3 linked regions of the Canis lupus familiaris genome follow. The protein of the gene in region 1 purifies or fractionates together with the protein of each later gene. This does not show direct contact. Links are inferred from orthologs where the notes say so. Each region holds a gene or a part of one and is shown in the gene's direction. Other genes may lie near its edges.

Evidence for each region.
Region 2: the proteins of SUV39H1 (region 1) and CBX1 purify together in Homo sapiens (affinity purification with mass spectrometry; 3 studies listed by BioGRID and IntAct, with this or other methods). This does not show direct contact. The link is inferred for Canis lupus familiaris from reciprocal best matches to the Homo sapiens genes SUV39H1 and CBX1.
Region 3: the proteins of SUV39H1 (region 1) and EHMT1 purify together in Homo sapiens (co-immunoprecipitation; 3 studies listed by BioGRID and IntAct, with this or other methods). This does not show direct contact. The link is inferred for Canis lupus familiaris from reciprocal best matches to the Homo sapiens genes SUV39H1 and EHMT1.

The regions. Positions count from the first base shown.
Region 1 is NC_049260.1:42,095,345-42,102,113, forward strand, and holds the start of SUV39H1 (histone-lysine N-methyltransferase SUV39H1), read left to right. Parts: upstream 1-2,393; 5' UTR 2,394-2,450; coding exon 2,451-2,490; intron 2,491-4,001; exon of another isoform or gene 4,002-4,155; coding exon of another isoform or gene 4,156-4,174; intron 4,175-6,252; coding exon 6,253-6,398; intron 6,399-6,769. UniProt on the Homo sapiens protein: Histone methyltransferase that specifically trimethylates 'Lys-9' of histone H3 using monomethylated H3 'Lys-9' as substrate. Also weakly methylates histone H1 (in vitro).
Region 2 is NC_049230.1:24,314,730-24,320,174, reverse strand, and holds the end of CBX1 (chromobox protein homolog 1), read left to right. Parts: intron 1-484; coding exon 485-662; intron 663-1,451; coding exon 1,452-1,546; intron 1,547-3,276; coding exon 3,277-3,430; 3' UTR 3,431-3,797; downstream 3,798-5,445. UniProt on the Homo sapiens protein: Component of heterochromatin. Recognizes and binds histone H3 tails methylated at 'Lys-9', leading to epigenetic repression. Interaction with lamin B receptor (LBR) can contribute to the association of the heterochromatin with the inner nuclear membrane.
Region 3 is NC_049230.1:48,025,996-48,032,047, reverse strand, and holds part of EHMT1 (histone-lysine N-methyltransferase EHMT1), read left to right. Parts: intron 1-4,436; coding exon 4,437-4,591; intron 4,592-5,525; coding exon 5,526-5,693; intron 5,694-5,861; coding exon 5,862-6,006; intron 6,007-6,052. UniProt on the Homo sapiens protein: Histone methyltransferase that specifically mono- and dimethylates 'Lys-9' of histone H3 (H3K9me1 and H3K9me2, respectively) in euchromatin.

The DNA.
Region 1 (6,769 bases):
AAGTCTAATCAACACAATATTAGATCAAGAGAATACTCGATGGTCAGACTTACTCTCCATGTACACAACTCACACACCAGGATCTTGATGGGCAGGATCCCTTTCTCAATTTTAAAATTTGGTTCTGCCTAGTTCTCAGAGCAAACTAAGTCCTGACCAATGGCAACCAAAGAAGCAAAGACTTAGTAATAAGATAGATCTGCTCTAGAACCTGGGAAAGACCCCCCACCTCTGAGCCTGTTTCTTCATTTATACAATGGGCCAGATAACAGTATGTAACTGATTCCCCCCTCCTCTTCTAGGAAATTACTCACCAAAAAAAAGGAGCAACTCAAAACTGTCCCTGGTGTTTAAAGCTATTTCCAGGGGGAGTGATAGACGCTCTTGCACATCAGAGCCTTGGAAGAGGTATCTCCTCCTTCTCATTTCTGAAATCTGGTGGATAAGGAGATCTCAGGTATCCTAGCTTTAGGGGAGGAAGAGGAGAGTGGGGGAGAAAGAGAACAGTAAGGAGGAATCTGGAGAGATCAGGCTTCATTCATCTGCAAGACCAGTGGATGAATTTCTGAAACATCAGAGGTGCAGGCTGTGGGCTAGGGGAAGGAGCAAAGGAGAGCCACGGTGAGGGTGGAGGTGTGGGAAGTGGGAGCTGACTTTGCTCCTTAAGAACTGCCCTGAAGCCACAGAAGCTGAAGAAGGAGGGAGTCTCAAGTTCCTTTTAATTCTTTCATGGTTCTTCACCTTCCACTCTACTCCCCACCCCACCTCAGCCAGGTCACCAGGGGCCAGCTGAGTCTAGGAAGGGCCTGTCAGCATCACTCACCTGCCTCCCCACTCCCTGCTAGGAAACTCTAGAAATCCAGTGTGCTGGGACCCCCTCAGCAGGCTTTGTCATGGAGAAGACCTTGTATCATACAACCCCTGAATCCTCAGGAGCACTGCCTACGGCAGGCATGGGCTTGGCAAACCAGTACTGACCATGGGCAAGTTGCTTGACCCTTCTGGGCCTCAGTTTTCCCCATCTTTAATTTGAGACAAAAAAAATGCATACTTTGCAAGGTTGCAGAATTAAAGTGTCTGCAAAGTTCCTGGCTCCTTAAGGTGACTACAAACATTAGATGCCACTGCTGCTATTAATCTTCCTACTACTGGTTGATCCTGAGTCACCACTGATCATAAAATGCACCATTATTGTATGTATCACCAAGGAAGACCAAAAAAGTACTGCGAATTAAGTTATGACTCACCAGTGCTTGGGAGATGCAGCCAGAATTCAGAGATGTTCCAGAATTAAGTGTTCCTGGATCTCTGGCTGGAGATGTTTCTTAACCTTTGTTCTGGTCCCACAGTTATGTTTGCTTGTGAAAACGCATGACACTGATCACCCATGGCCTGTGACCTCTCCTAAATGTGTGGTACACTCAAAGATGGGGTTTGCATTGAAAACAGGTCAAACCTATACAGCTTGGAATGGAGAAGACCTTATTTGGCCCCAGCACTGGGCAAGGCAATATACACAGTTGGCACTAAAGTAGTGCTGAATGAACAGACAAATGGCTGGGATTGGGACACAGTAATAATAGGGTGGCCTCTTCCTTTTGAGGTCTCCTGGACAGATGCTAGTCCAGAAAGATTGATTTCCAGATGAGTGGGAGATACCCACCCCAAAGCCACTCATCTGACATTTTCAGATGAAGAAACTGCCTAAGGTCACACAATTTAGCAAATGCTACCATTTGAATCCAGGTAGCTAGGCTCCAAGATCCATGCCTCTACTCATTACATTATATATACTGTTTGGGGAGGACCACGGTGTGAAAATTAAGAAAGGGAAACCTTACTTAAATGGACTCAGGATGTTAGAAGGGGAGGCTGGTAGAGGAAGCCTACAGCACAATGTCTACTGCAAAAAGTTTCAGCTACACACCCAACAGAAGTATCTCAACAGGAAAGAATGGTCAATTATAGGCCCCCAACAAAGGAAAGATGTACATCCTATCTCCTTTAAGAAACTGACTACTCCTGCAACTCAGCCAATGAGAAACCATCATCAGTATGAACTCTTGCTGTTGTCCAATAGATTTTTGTTCCAAACCCCTCCCAACCTCCTCCTTCTCCATAACATAATGTTCTCCTTTGTTTATTGGACTTGCATATGGTTTTGCCATAACTTGCTTGTTCTGCGTTGCAATTCTCAGCTATTCCTGAATAAACTCATCTTTTGCTGGTAACATAACTGGCAGTTTTATCTTTCAAATTGGCAAAGGGATGTTTGCCCAACACCCACATGCTCCTACATCACCCCCTCCAGATTCAGTCGGGCCTTAAGCCATTCTTATGGGTTGGACTAGGCTCCTGGGAATAGGAGGGTTTTACCTTTTGGGGGAGACTGGGAGCACGCAAGGACCAGCATCTGACTGTGTTCTAGAAGGAATAAGGGAAGGAAGAGGATGCGTGGTGGGACGTATGCTGCTGATTGTTCCAGTCATGGTAAGCAGGAGCTGATGGAACTTCAGACTGACCGTCTATTTCTCCAACAAGCTCAGAGCTAGACTGGCAGGTGGACAGAACAACCATCTGCTTAACTGTAATCATTTGGTTGACCACATAACTCATGTGCCAACAGGGAAAGGGGCGCTTTGAGGAACTGACAGTGCAGTTGCCTGATGGTAGGAGGTACTGAATATCTAACTAAATTATGCCCACCTGGGACTGGCTGGGACTGGTGGTCTGATAGTGTAGAAGACAGGCAGCCTCCCAAGGGACTGACAAGCTGGCTGACTGGTGGTGTGTGCTGTTGCTGCTGCCTGGGCGGCGGGATGTTGTGCGTGGCTGACTATTGCTAGGAGTCACATCTGGCCTGAGGGAGTGTCTGGATGTTACACTGTCTGATGCAGTGTAAAGGAGGGCTACCCTGAAGGAATTTCGGGCTGACTGAGGGACAGATCTGTGACTGCCTGATAGGCAACTGTATCTGGTGAGTGACTGTCCACCCTGACCACATAGACCATGTGTGGTCAGTCAGATGCTGAGAATGGCTGCCTGGCGACTGACAAAACGATGAAGAGCAGTGAACGACTCACAGGCCATCTGACCAGTTGAAATACCAGTGTAGCTGCCTGACTGGATGGCTGTATCAGGTTGGAATCACAGCCGCCTGGAGGGAGCCCCACGGAGACTGACCAAATGACTGACCAATGGTGGGCATACCTCGCTGAGAAGTGACAGACTGCTGACCCACTGTCAGGTGGCATGGAGGCTTTAGTTGCTGTGACTATTTCTTTGAGGGAATAATTGCCTGATCATGGCGTGAATGAGGAGTAACCTGAGGGAATTAAATATTGACCAACACTGGACAGTGTGACTGCCTGAGAGGGCGACATCAGATGACAATGACAGCCTGTCCTCACCTAATCACGGCCCACCTGAGCCACGGCTGGTGGCTGTGAGAGGCTTTCCCAAGGGGGATTCAGGGCTGCCCCCAGAGCAAGAGATGGAGAGACCGGCTGCTTGACTGTGTGAAAAAGGGGCAGCCAGAGGGAATGATAGGCCGGCTAACAGTGTAGTTGTTAGGAATGCGTGTCTGCCTTAAGACTCGCAGCTGGCCACGAACGGATGCTGCCGTTGACTGACAGACCCTGTGAATGGGGGTGGGGGACCGGGGTCTGACTAAACAGTTGTCTGTGGTGATGGACCCATTGTCTGATTTAATTCTGGGGACTGGCTGAGCAGCTGTACGTGGTGACAGTCCATCTTGGGAGTCACGGCCAGCTTGGGGTTAAAATGTGGTGACGACCGAGTGACGGTGGTAATTGGGGGTCTGACAGGACGGAGAATCCCCCGTGCGGCCGGCTGACAACGTGATTGGCTGACAGCGTGACAGACAGACCAGCGTACGGGTAGGGCCTCCGGCAACCTCAGTTGCCGCCGCTGCGGCTGCCGCCCAGACGCACTCTGGGAAAGCGCTGGCGAGCACCCGCCTTCGGGACCGAGCGGGGTAGCGGGGAGGGGTCCGGTCACGGCTCGCCGGTTGGTCCGCGCGGGCTATGCTCGCGGCGCCGTGCGGCCAATAGGCTGCGCGTTCTCGGCCACGCCCGCGCGAGCTCTCTTCTCGCGAGGCCGGTTAGGCCCGAATGTCGTTAGCCGTGGGGAAAGATGGCGGAAAATTTAAAAGGTGAAGCAGTGGCGGTAGCGGCGCCGGCCTGCTGGCCGGGCCGGGTGGGCTAGAGGGGTGGCGTCGCGGGCTTGGGGCCCCGGCGTCTGAGGCCACGGAGCCAGGAGCCGGAAGCTTGGCGCGGAAAGGATGGGGCTCTTGGAACCCGGGCCTGGCGCGCGGGGCTGGGCGGGGCTGAGGGGAGGGGGCGCGTGCCTCCGAACGCGGCGGGCGCGGGGCTAAGTGGGGACGCGGCAGGGGGGCGCGCGCCTCTGATCGCGACCAGTCGGCGCGCGCACGCGCGGGGGCTTGTCGGGGAGGCCGCACCCGCGCGCGGGAAAATCGGCCGCCAGTGACCGTTACCCGGTTGGTGTCCACGCGAGACGCCGGAAGGGGAGGGAAGGGAAGGGGACGGACCTCCTTTTCAGAGTGGGGGACAGAGGACTCTTCATGGTGAGGGTATCTCCTTTCCGCGTGATGGGGAAAGGGTTTGCTGTAGAGAAGACTCCCCAGGGAAGAGGGGAAAGGGGGCTTCTCTGATAGGAGAGCTGGACTCCCTCGTGTGTAGGGAAAGAGGGGTGACTTTTCCAGTATGTTGGGGAGGGTGGGCTCCTCTGGGTGAGGATAGCTGCGGGGAGGATGGCCTCCACAGTGTGAGGGGGACCTCTGAGAGGTAGGAATCCACCTGTGGCCAGTGCGGAGCCAGCAGCTGGAGAGGTTAGTTTGGGACCACTTTAGTGGGGTTTCAAATGCAAGTTAAGGGGCTTGAAAGGGAGAGGCATCATAGGGAGAGGAAAGCGTGGGCACAGGCTGAGTCTCCACTAGGCCTGCCTCAGTGGAGGGGGGGTTGTGCACACGAAATAATTTTGCAATGCTCTTGTACGTTTTCAGGTTGACGTCTGCAGTATTTCATTAGGAGTTCAAATGTCTGATTTTTTTAACGGGAGGTAGACGATATTAAAAATAGGATGAGTACTGACTGCATTTGGAATTAGTGTTCAATGGAATGATTTGATAAAATGGCTTTAAAGCACATTGTGCCTTGAATCAGAAGTCTTTTTCTTTCCTTTAAATCGGCGTCTTGAAAATTTCTGATAGCACCAGAAACATTCCAGGTATATTTAAAAGAATTGTCAATAACCTATACTGTTTTGCTGGTTCCTGAATTCAGAGCGTACTCCTTTGGGTGAGCTTTACCCTTCACAGAAATGTAGATGAGACGGCAAGCTAAAATGCGGTGTGAAAAAATATACCTTGTAGGTTTAAGGCACCCAGGCTAATCATTCAAGGAAGCTTCCTGAAATCTAATACCATTCCACAGTCTCTCATTCATAATTTTGAAATCTAAAAAGCTCTGAAAACTTAAGTTTGGCGCAATTTAGGGGCAAAACTAGACTATAAAGTGGGACTATCTTGCCTCTTTATTTCTCCTATTTAATATAGAAAATTCAGATTTTTTTGCTGCAGAATTACTAATGTGTTTGATTATGGCTTGATGCCCCTGACCACATAGCGGGTGTTAGGTAGTGCATGGGGTATACCTCGGACTACACTTGTAAAAAAAAAAAAAAAATCTGAATTCCTAAACACAAGTAAAGTAGCCCCAGGAGTTTCAGATAAGGGATTCCAGACCTGTCTTTCCAGTTAAGCCTTTGTTTGGGGCCTACAGGTTGTAATCCCAGCCCCATCAGTTCCCTCAGGGCAATGCACCCTACTGAGATGGGGGTTGTTCTCTTTATTTTGCAAAGTGGGGAGAGGGATGATTAGGTCCTGAACCCAACTGCAGGTTTGCAGGCAGTTTTAGGAATAGTATGGAGGGGAAGCTCTAGGAATAGATTCCTTTAGGACAATTCCTGCAGCAGATCTCACTTTGAGGGCTACAGCTGGGGTGGGGGGGATGGCCTTGGAATGAGCACTGGGGCTGAAGGAAGTGGCACATTTTTTGATGTAGAAGGGTCTCAGCATGGAGAAAGCCTGTGGATTAAATCTCACTGACTCTGAGGCAGTTCTTTGGAAGTCCCAGAAAGGATTTGGGGTCCCCTTTGATCGGTGCCTTCAGCAGGATACCCAGTAAGTTCTTTCTGGCCTCCTTGTTCTAGGCTGCAGTGTGTGTTGCAAGTCGTCTTGGAATCAGCTACAGGACCTGTGCCGTCTGGCCAAGCTCTCCTGCCCTGCCCTCGGCATCTCCAAGAGGAATCTCTATGACTTTGAAGTCGAGTACCTGTGTGATTACAAGAAGATACGCGTGAGTCTGGGGTGCCCATGGCCAGGGCAGGGGTGTCTCAAGGAAGCTGGCTTACTTCCCTCTTCCTCCACCCCCACTTCCTGCATCTGTTTCCAAAGGGAATGTTCTCTGATCTTAAAAAATTAGGTTTAGTAGGACTTCTTATCATCCTCATTGTGCAGGTGAGGAAATTAAGTGGCTTTCTCAGAGGGGCAGGAGCCAGAATGAATCCCCAAATAAGTCTTTCTTTCCACCTCCATAGGAATACAAACCAAGTGCAAAGATTGAGATGTTGAGTGCAGAAATGGAGATGTTGATAGCTAGTGATTATTGAAGGACATTCAGTATGCTGGCACTTCCTCTCAGAAACCCATTTAATCCCCCAAACAGCT
Region 2 (5,445 bases), on another chromosome or scaffold:
TAAGTTTCATTAACTTGGGTAAATCTATCTATTTAGTCACTGACTATTTCTCAGGAGTCTAGTAATGCGCAAGGCCTAGGGTGCTCTGATGGGTAGTATGACCCAGGCCTGGCCTTCATGGCTTAGAGTCTAATGAGGAAAACTGTCCACATGTACAAAGTGCTACAATGCCAGACAGTGATTTATGAGAAGCAGTTTTATGTGCAGCTTTAGACTGATTCAAGTTTGCAAAGAAAGTAATTTTCCTTTGAAGAAGGCAAGTTTCTAAGCTTTTAATTTACATTAAAAAGTCTGATGCCAACCCCCCTGCCCCAAGAAATCTCAGTGTTACCAAGGTTCTTGGTCTTGGACAAAATCTGGATACTCATTATCATTAACTCCTCTTTTCCAAGGACACCAGCTCTCGTCATCCTGTGCATCTCCTTAGTATGAGTGTGCTAACTTTTGAGTGGAAAGTGTGACTCACTGTGCCCTCTGGTTTCAGTGAGGATAACACGTGGGAGCCAGAAGAGAACCTGGATTGCCCTGATCTCATTGCCGAGTTTCTACAGTCACAGAAAACAGCACATGAGACAGATAAATCAGAGGGAGGCAAACGCAAAGCTGACTCTGATTCTGAAGATAAGGGAGAAGAGAGCAAACCAAAGAAGAAGAAAGAAGAGGTAAGGGGAGAACAAGTTTTACTAGCCCAGAATTCCTACTGCTGTCAAAGCTGAAAAGCCTTTTAATTTTTAAATTTAAGGAGTTTTATTCTGCTGCTTCTTGGGCCTCAGCACCCATCTCTCCTTCCTCTGGAATCTTAGGCTAATGCTTATAAAGTGTTTGGGGGTTCACTTTGCTGAAGCCATGTAATCTATACTTTATCCAAGTTTCTTTCCTTTTTTTTTTTTTTTTTTTTTAAGATTTTATTTATTTATTCATGAGGGACACACAGAGAGAGAGAGGCAGAGACACAGGCAGAGGGAGAAGCAGGATCCATGCAGGGAGCCTGATGTGGGACTCGATCCTGGGCCTCCAGGATCACACCCCGGGCCGAAGGCAGGCGCTAAACTGCCGAGCCACTCGGGCTGCCCTACTTTATCCAAGTTTCAAGAATAATAATGAGTGCAAATAAATTCATTCCTATAGATAGTTTTCAGTGTTGTAATCATTACAGGTGTTAGCTCTATATTTATTCAGTACCTTAAAGTAAGTTATCTTCTGAGGGTGAAGAAACTGTTGTGAAAATTTATTTTGCTTGAGATGTATGTCCCTTTTTACATATGGGGAAACCTCAAGACCTTGATGGAAGAATCACTCAGAAGGATGCATAAAGGCCTGTGACTTGGAGCCAAGGTATTGATGAAATACTGACAAGAATGTGATTATATTAATCAGAGGAGCAGGAGTGACTCTAGTCTGGATAACAGTCCCACATAATTAAATTTGTTGCATCCATCTGATTTTTACAGTCAGAAAAGCCACGAGGCTTTGCCCGGGGTTTGGAACCAGAGCGGATTATTGGAGCTACAGACTCCAGTGGAGAACTCATGTTCCTGATGAAATGGTGAGTCTGCTGGTGGCCCTGTGTGGTGGTTTTTTTCTTCTCCCCATCTGTTCCATGCCAGAGGAAAAGAGCTGGATCTTCGAAATTCCAGTCGCCCAAGTGTGAAATCTTTAAGATGGCATAGTCCTTCGATAGTGACCCTCGGCCTGACTGCCAGCCTGGACTCATGAGTTACAGGTAGGGGCCCTTAGGATTCTCAGATCTTTGCCCCATTTATTAGGAGGTGGGAGAAAATCCAGGATGGAGAAGGTACAGGGAAGGATCACATTTCACTTCTGTGAATGAAGGGGTTGGGAATGAAATGTGATTGAACCACCTTCCCCTTGTACAACCTCCTTAATAAAAATTGGGCTGGCCCCAGGATCAGAAGTTCTGTTAACTTCTCAGGGTTATTTAAGAATTTCTGTAGCTCTTCCTTTGTCTTTGATTGTTAGATCCTTTCCAATTTGTGCAGATTCTGTAATTCCAGGATCAGCCAGTAGGGGTCAGCAAGTCACCTTTACTGTACTGAGAGCATAGAGTAATAGGCTATTTTTTTCCATTAGAAGTATGAATACCAATGGTAGTAATACTCCACAAAACAGCTTAAGGAAAACAGTTGTCTTGAGAATGATAAGAACTTTAATTAACCCCAGATTCCCTAAAATATCCCTATTCTCTGCCAAAAGGAAGGCTTTCTTTTCTTTTTCTTGCTGGTTGAAAAATGTTTGTGCTTTTTTCCCCCCCCAGGTAGGTCTCAAATATTGTCCTTAAAATATAAATTAGGAGGGAATGATTCTAAGCCTTTACCAGTTAAGGCAGAATTTTAAGGATTTTGTCCTTTTGTCAGTCTAGAATCTTCTCTTAAATTCCTGTCTATACTAATTCCTCTTGCTTAGAAGGTGGTCAGAGAGGCCTGACTTTGACACTGCTGAAAGCTTATGTCACAATTAGGTGAAACTCTTGTTTTCTTATTTTGTGTTTCCTATGTTCACTGAATCTGACATTTTAGCTGCTTTACTGCTAGCCTATAGGAGAAAAGTTCATTTTTCATTTTTAAGGTGTGCATCTGGGGTGGTGGGGGGAGATTGATACCAGGAGCTACAATCCAACTAGAATATATTTTCACTGTCTGCATGTGATCAGTCTGAGTTACTATACTATCTCCATATTGTTTAAGATTGCACTCCTTTGGTTGAATTACTGCTATTTTTAAAGATTATACCTGAATGTAATTCTACAAGTTAAGATAAAAAGATTGGATGTTGATTAGAAAAACCTAGTTCATTTTAAGATGATTTTCTGGAAGAGTTGAAATAGTTGTCCATTACCAAAATAGAAAATATTCCTTTGTTATGAAATAACTGAACTTCCCTCAAAGTATTGTTTGAATTGTCAACAAGGGCAGCCTCCTTCAGGCTCCCATATTGTTAGACTCCTTTTCCCTCCCATTCTTTTCAGTCTGTTGTTCAGAAACATACCTTACCAGTTTAGTCAACCCTGGTTCCTTGTGCTCTCTGGCTTTGGTTTATCTGTTTCTGAGTTCTAGAAGTTTTGGGTGGTGCCTCATTGGATCCCATCATATAACTGCTACCTGCCTTAATGCTGCTACTCTCATCTAGGAGATTCCTAGTGACCTTACTCCTAAGTCCTTTGTAATATGTATGTGATTTTCAAATTTTGAGACCATTTTTTAAAATTCAGGAAAATATAGAGAATTATGTAACAGTCCCTTATTTTCTACTTCCCAGTGTTGAAGCACCATTTCAAAGCACCTGGGAGTTGTGGAATATCTGTGTGAGCATGGCATTTGGTAATGTTAAACAGTGTAATTATGAGTCAATGAGAATGTGTCCAACTGCATTGGCTAGAGCCAATGGTATTAAATCTTATTATTGGTATTAAATCTTACTATTGGTATAAAATCAATTACTATCCAAAATTCTACTACAAAGCCAAGATCTCTCCATGGGCTCTTGGGAGCTTGGCTTTTGGATGAGTATGGTAGCCTTTCTTCTGCCCTCCAAGAATCTGAGAGTCATGTTTGTTTTTGTTTTTGTTTTTGTTTTTTTCCTGGCCTTGCCAGAGGTTCACATGTGATAGATTGAGTTAAGTGACTGAGCTTAACAAAGATACCAGAGAGGATTTTCAACAGAAGACCTCTGAGGATGTCACTTGACTAAATGCTGTGTAGGCCATGTTATCGCCCTATCCCTTGTGTAATCCAGGTTAGGAGACCACTAGCACCTGGTCTCAGGGTCTCTCTGCTTTGTTCTGCAGGAAAAATTCTGATGAGGCTGACCTAGTCCCTGCCAAGGAAGCCAATGTCAAGTGCCCACAGGTGGTCATATCCTTCTATGAGGAAAGGCTGACGTGGCATTCTTACCCCTCGGAGGATGATGACAAAAAAGATGACAAGAATTAACTGTCCTGAGTACCTGCCCCTGTCACATCTGACTGTGGGTTTCAAGTGGGGAGGGAAGGAGTTCTACTCGTCTTGACACCGTAGAGGTGGCTTGAGAAGATGTCCTTTGAAGAGCCAGTATCGTTTCTGTGCCCTACAGCAGCCCAAGTGCTTTAAAGCCTTTCCATGCTGTGTAGTTTGCACACCCATCCCAGTGGAGGGGAAGGAAGAGAAGTATTGCAAGGCCACCCATTCTGTACTTTGCTGAGAAAGGCAAAGGGCCTTCCATGAAGGACAGAACTTGCAGAATGGGTGTGTGGGAGAGCAAAAGATACTGTAGATCTTCAAAGTGCATCTCCACAACCCACAGCCTTCTTCCCAATAGTGTTAACTCTGCATTTTTACAGCGTAGCATGTGTGTAGTTTTTGGCTATTACTGGTGTATCATTTGGGGGTGGGAGGGTTGGGGGTGGGAAGGAACGGAGATGGGTAGGATCATTTTTGTTAAAATTTGGGGCCTGATTGGGAAAATGGTGAAACAATGGAAAGAACAAACTTGTGGTGATTTGGTTCTGTGTCCAGAATATTTTATCTTTTCAAAAAATGTCATTGGCAACCTAAATGAGGACTGTGAGAGACTGTTTAAAAGCTGTGAATGCCTGAAACTTAAAGCCAAGGTGTTCCCTGCCTGAGCTTAATGCTATTCCCAACAAAGGACTAAGCCAGTTAATAAGTTACCAAAGCTGCCATTTTGGGGATGGAAACTGGTTGAAGAGGGAAAGTCTTATTGGAGCGTATACATAGGCAGATTGTTCTGTCATAGAGGTGCTAATTCTTGAAATTGGTAAGAAGACCCTTTCTTTTCCAACTATGAAGTTTTAAACATCAGCTTATCCATCCAAGCCACTGGCTGAGGTATTTGGGGAGGAGAAGAGGGTGGTATAGAAGGTGGGAGAGTAGAGAAAGACAAGGGCCCATGCTCTTAGGGTGGAAAACTCTTGGAGCCTATTATTTGAACTTTGAACCCTGAAATCATTGGTGGCAGGGTTCAATCACTGACAGCACAAGTTCATTGAATCACTTCAAGAGTTGAATGACTTCAAAAGCCCTGGTCTCAGGAGAAGATTAAACTTTCATACTGGGGCAGTGGTTCACTTTAAAACACAAAACAAAACAAAAAAATTTTTTAATCCTAAGAACTAATACCCAAAATGCTGTCTTGAATCATGAGATCCATCAGTTCTTGACATCGTCTAGACCTGCATTCTAGAACTCCATTGTAAAATCTTTTTAGGCATGTGTTAGGTTTCTGTGAAAACTTTGTTTAAATGTAAACTTCATACCACATTTGTCAGTTTTGTCTTAATAAAACTATAGATTTATAATCCTTGATTTCTGTCTTGATTAAGTATTACCAAAAACCCTCCCTGCCTTTGATTACCTTTTGGTTCAGCTTATAAGGAAACAACTTCTACAGTTGGACGGTTTGATTTTTTTTTTAATTTTTTTTTTTTAA
Region 3 (6,052 bases), on another chromosome or scaffold:
CAGACGGCATCAGCCTGGGAGTCACTATTGCTCATTTGTCCTTCACCTGGTCGTGGATTTTGGCTTTTCTGGGTCCTGGCTCTCGCCCACGGCTGCTGTGGACACTCAGGCATGTGTCTTCACGTGGGCACATGTTGTCATTTCTCTCCCATGAAACCTGGGTCACCTAAGGAGGCTGCACAGCTTCCAGAGTGGCTGTGCCTAAGAGTCATATCTGAGGGCGGCTCCTTCACACCCTCCCCAGCACTTACTCTGGCCAGTCTTTGTGTTCTTTGTGGGCCGGGCGGTTTCCGGTGTGTGTGTGTGTGTATCTGTTCAGATCTTTTGCTCATTTTTATCAGATCATTTTTTCTTATTCTTCATTTTGAAAGTTGCTGTATTTTCTGTATGCAAGTTCTCTATATCAGATGTTTTACTAGCCCTAACAATTGTTTTTGAGAAGCAGATGCTTTTTAATACTGAAAAAGTCCAGTTTATTAGTTATTTTCTACCTGTGGATCATGTGTTTGGTGTTGTCTTTAAGAAATCATTGCCTGACCCAAGATCCCAAAGACATTCTCCTGTGTTTTCTTATAGTGATTGTTTTGCATGAGGATGTCTAGACATTCCAGCCCATCTGTCTAAAAGCCGTCCCTTCTCCACAGAACTGACTCTGCCCCTTTGTGCACATGTGTGCGGCTCTGTCCGCTGTGCCATGGCCCACATGCATCTGCCCCTGTGCCTGTGCTTGCGCTCTCAGTGAGGACAGAGTGCTGTGTGCTTGCCCAGGCCTCATGCTGTTGCTCTGAGTTGTGGGGATACCACAATACGTTGTCACATCGTTTCCACTGTCGTGATCTTTTGGAAACACTGTAGTGAGGAAAGTCTCAAGTCTCAGCACCTGCTGCCACCACTTTCTTTGCTCCTTATTCACTTACTTAGGTCCTTCAGTGCAGGGTCACTTTTCTTCTACACATCAGACTTGTTTGTTGCGTCCTGGGGCGCTGGACTGCCCCTGATGAGTGCCTGCAGATTCCTTATCTTGCCTTCACTTTTTTTGGGAGGTATTTTGCTGGGTGTGCACTTTGGTCAACAGCTTCTTTCAGTACTTCATGCACACAGCCTCCCTGTTGTCCTCACTGACGTGTTTCCCACAGGGAATTCTCGGTGGCACCTTGTCCTTATTTCTAGATACAGTGCATCTGCTTTTTTTTGGCAATTTTAGGATTTTCTTTTTGTCACTAGATTTTAACAGTTGAATTATGATGCACCTTGTGTCACTCGCGCATGTGTCGCACGTGTGAGGTCACGGCTTGTGAAGCGTGAGTCAGTGATGTTAGGGTTAGGATGTCAGGTACAGACCCCTGCCCTCATTCCTCCCCAGAGTGTTTCTGCCTGGCCCCCTTCACAGGGGCCACTCGCTCTGTAATTTTCAGGTGGCTGGAAGGTGTTCCCAGCTCAGTGATGCTCTTTTCATTTTTCTTTCTTTTTTTTTTTTTATTTATTTATTTATGATAGTCACAGAGAGAGAAAGAGAGGCAGAGACACAGGCAGTGTGAAGCAGGCTCCATGCACCGGGAGCCCGACGTGGGAATCGATCCTGGGTCTCCAGGATCGCGCCCTAGGCCAAAGGCAGGCGCCAAACCGCTGCGCCACCCAGGGATCCCTCTTTTCATTTTTCTCAATCATGTTTTTCACTCTGGATCACAATTTAGCTGGTTTTACAGCTGCTTTGCTGGTCTTAATAACAATTTTGCTGTGTCTTCAAGCTCAGTAATTTTTTTCTTTATAGCCTGTAACGGTGTTAGTCTCATCCAGTGTGTTTCTGTCAGACATCGTGCTTGTCAGCTCCGGAAGTTTTGTTTGCAACCTTATGTTGGTGCCAGACATTTTGGTTTTACCGAGCTGTGAATTTCTGTATTTTCCTGGAAAAGTCTTAAGCTTTGTTCTGGGTGCAGCAAAGTGGCTTGGAAATAGTCTGTTTTGGGTTTTGCTTTCTAGGTTTGTTAGGTGAGCTCAAGCAGGTCTCAGCTCTTTATGCTTCAGCTTTGGAGGTGTGTCTTGGAGGTCCAGGATGGGAATGTCTGATCTCCAGAGGCCTCTTCCCAGCCTTACCCCTGTTTTGTGAACCCCAGCTGCCTTAGCCACTGGCTCTCACTTCCTACCTTTGAACTTCTGGTCTCTCCCTGTGCTGAGGCTGGATCTCAGGACAGTGAGTGGACAGACCCAGGCCGTATTTGTTTCTACTTTCAGGGATGTAGCCCTTCATTGCCTGGTGTCCAGTGTCTTGAAAACCATTGTTTCACACATTTTTTTTTGGAGGGGGCAGATTTTATTTACTTGACAGAGAGCATAAGCAGGGGGAAGGGCAAAGGAAAAGGGAGAAACAGACTCTCCACTGAGCAGGGAGCCCGACGCAGAGCTCCATCCCAGGACTCGGAGATCATGACCTGAGCCAAGGGCAGATGCTTCACCGATTGAGCCCCTCAGGCTCCCCTATTTCACATATTTTGACTATTTGGCTCTTTCAGGCAGGAGGGTAAATCCAGATGGTCCCTCTGGCCTGGTCTCTGCTAGAACCAAAGTGCTGTCTGTCACTTCAGATGTGTGGGTCAGGCCTTTTGTAACCCAGCAGGCAGATGTCAGCTAGTCTGGGACTGCATTCCTCTGCTAGGAGGAGCCTAGGTGGACACAGACAGTCTTAGCATGTGATTCTGGTTATAATATAATAGGTCCTTCTGATGAAGGAATGAAAAAAGAGGCCCCTCAGGAAACCACCTTTTGTTCTGGAGCTTGCAAATGTATGGAAGATGGAAAGATGAGAGGGATAGCAGGCATCCCAGTGCAGCGTCCAGTAAAGGAAGCTCCAGGCAGATCCATGCTTTTCAGAAAATACTGAGGCTGACAGGAGCCCATGTGAAGCCTGTGCTAGGGGCTAGACACTGTTTGTGAACAGACAGGACCACATGGTTTGACTTATCTCTTTCCTCAAGTTCATTGGGCCGCAAGCATTGGATGCACTCCGATTGTCCTCAATCACTGGAGCGTTCCAGGGGGTTCTGTGGGTGGGAAGGGGGCAGGATTGAGGCATTCAGAGTCACATAGCCGGCATATGGGTTCCATGGGGACTGATGTGGGCGCAGCTGGGCACGCAGTGCATGGGGCTCTGCTGGTGGGGGGGCCAGAGTGGGCAGCCAGGCTTGATTTCAGTGGTGGCTCCTGTGAGGTACTGGGACTTCAGCACCCTCTCTGCCAGGAGAGCAGGAAGTGCTTCCAGGGCCACAAATTTGCACCTCTAAGCGCTTAAGCCTCGAGAGCATTTAAGCCCTGAGAGCATGTCAGGAAAAGAAAGGGCTAAAGTATTCAGTGCCTGAGTCCACAGGAAGACGGGAACCACCTGAAGGTCATGACCATGAGCTAGTGGCCTGCGCTGCAGGGGTGGGGTCAGAGCAGCTTTCATATTTGTCCCCAGGGTGGTTGCTTCACGGCTATGTCATGGCTACTTTGTGCTCATTTCCCACCTGGCAAGGCCACATGTTCCCTATACTTAACGTGTGTTCCTCATCGGTCACACAAGTTTTACATTTTTATACCTTTTGTGTATTTGTTTTCAAAATTACAGTGTAGTTTATACACAGCACAAATGGTTTTTTTCTAATCTTTGATTTAAAATGATTTCCCTACTCCTACTGTCTCCTCTCTCAAATCAATCAATCAATCCTTTTTAAAAAGGGAGGGGGGCACCTGGGTGGCTCACAAGCTTAAGCGTCTGGATTCAGCTCAGGTCTTGATCTCGGGTCCTGGAATCGAGCCCCACATAGGGCTTCCAGCTCATCAGAGAGCCTGCTTCTTCCTCTGTCCCTCCCCCTGCTCGGGCTCTCTCTCAAATAAATAAATCTTTAAAAAAATAAATAAAAGTTTTATTTTACAGGGGTTTTTATGAAGTAAAATTTTAGTGTGATCAAATTTGTCTACATTTTATCTTTTAAAAATCTTACACAAGTGTCCTGTTTTGCAATTGTACTTTGTTACAGAGTGAATATAATTTTAAAAAGTAGATAACTTGGGGCAGCCTGGGTGGCTCAGCGGTTTAGTGCCACCTTCAGCCCAGGGCCTGATCCTGGAGACCTGTGATAGAGTCCCACATCGGGCTCCCTACATGGAGCCTGGTTCTCTCTCTGCCTGTGTCTCTGCCTCTCTCTCTCTCTCTCTCTCTCTCTCTCTTTCTCATGATAAATAAATAAAATATTTTTAAAAAGTAGATAACTTACTCCCAGATGTTACGTTAATAGTGTGCTTAGGTTGGTCTAATTTCAGATGATTTTTTATTCTATTTTTAAAATAGTACTGTGATTATGTTACTTTTATGATGAAAACAAAACAAAAAAGGAAGCTCCCTCAGCACTCAGATGGGTCTTTGCTCTCCCCTTGGTGTGCTGTGCCGTCTGTCTGTGCAGGAGGAGAACATCTGCCTGCACTGGGCTGCGTTCTCGGGCTGCGTGGACATAGCCGAGATCCTGCTGGCTGCCAGGTGTGACCTCCACGCCGTGAACGTCCATGGAGACTCGCCCCTGCACATTGCAGCCAGGGAGGACCGCTATGCCTGTGTCCTGTGAGTGGCTCTGCTGCATGCAGCCCCTGCCAGGCTCCTAGGGTGGGGGCGCCCTGGTGCCCCAGGTCCTCCCAGGGAAGCTTCTTCCACAAACAGCCAGAGGTGTAAGGGTCCCATTCCACATGTGAGGTCAGTCTGGTTATTTCTGGTTCAGGGAGGATGGTTGTTAAGAATCCCCAAATACATAGGTGAGTGTGGAGATGAGTCTCACCCAGCACCTCTCATCAGAGGGGAGGGGACAGGCCCCTCTGGGACAGGTTCAGGAGGGACAGAGATGTTGGTGTTTACCACTCGCCACTCTGAACCCCTTCCCGTCTCATATGAGTGAGAGACGGTGCGGTTGGGGTTCTGGGGAGTCATCCTCTCATGAGTGGGTGCGGTTGGGGTCCTGGGGTCCAGAGTGGTTCTCGCTCTGCTGTCAGTGGAAGCTCTGAGTGTGGGGGACAGGACCTCGGGTCCCTCCATCTCACCTGGAAATGAGGGGGAGCCCTGCTGTGGGCCACACGCCCACTCAGACTGGGACCTTGGTGGCAGCTCGGCAGAGAAGGTTGTGCGTGAGGCCCTTGAGTGGGGCTGGGTGAGCTGTCCCGCTTCCAAGTGGATCAGGACCCTGGACACGGCCAGCTGGTGTGGTTTACCTGCTTCATGCTGGCCCTGGGCGTCCATGAGCCTCTGAATGGAAAAGCCAAGAGCCCTCAAGTACCATCTCTTGTTCTTTACACACAGTTCTGGAGCAAAAAAAAAAAAGACTGATGTAGTATGTTCCTGGTGAGTCAGGGCAGGTCTTTCTAGAAGCACCGGTCAGCAAGCTTAATACCAAGATAAATGATGTGTTCCTTTTATTTTTACTGACTGTAATTATTTTGTAAATCTCATTCTCATATCTTTTAAATTAAGGTCTGAATGTTTTATTGGCTTACATTTTTCCTTTTAGCCTCTTTCTTTCTCGGGATTCAGATGTCACCTTGAAAAACAAAGAAGGAGAGACGCCCCTGCAGTGTGCAAGCCTTAACTCCCAGGTGTGGGACGCACTGCAGATGAGTCGGGCGCTGCGAGACGCAGCTCCCGACAGGCCTGTCCCGATGGAGAAGACTGTGAGCAGGTGAGGAGACCACTCTGGGCCAAGGGCTGACGGACGGGGGTTGCAGAGTTGGAAACTAAGGCTTCCCTCCCAACTGAGGCCACAGTGCCTGGCCCCAGGCTCAGCGGCTGCCCTGTGGGGGTGTTGCTTATCACAGCAAAAGGTAATGTCCCCCCTTCCCGGTGGCAGAGACATTGCTCGAGGCTATGAGCGAATCCCCATCCCGTGTGTCAACGCTGTGGACAGCGAGCCGTGCCCCAGCAACTACAAATATGTTTCTCAGAACTGCGTGACATCCCCCATGAACATTGACAGGAACATCACCCATTTGCAGGTCAGCTGTGGTAGGGGGTGCTGGCCCCTGGGGCTTGGGTCCACAG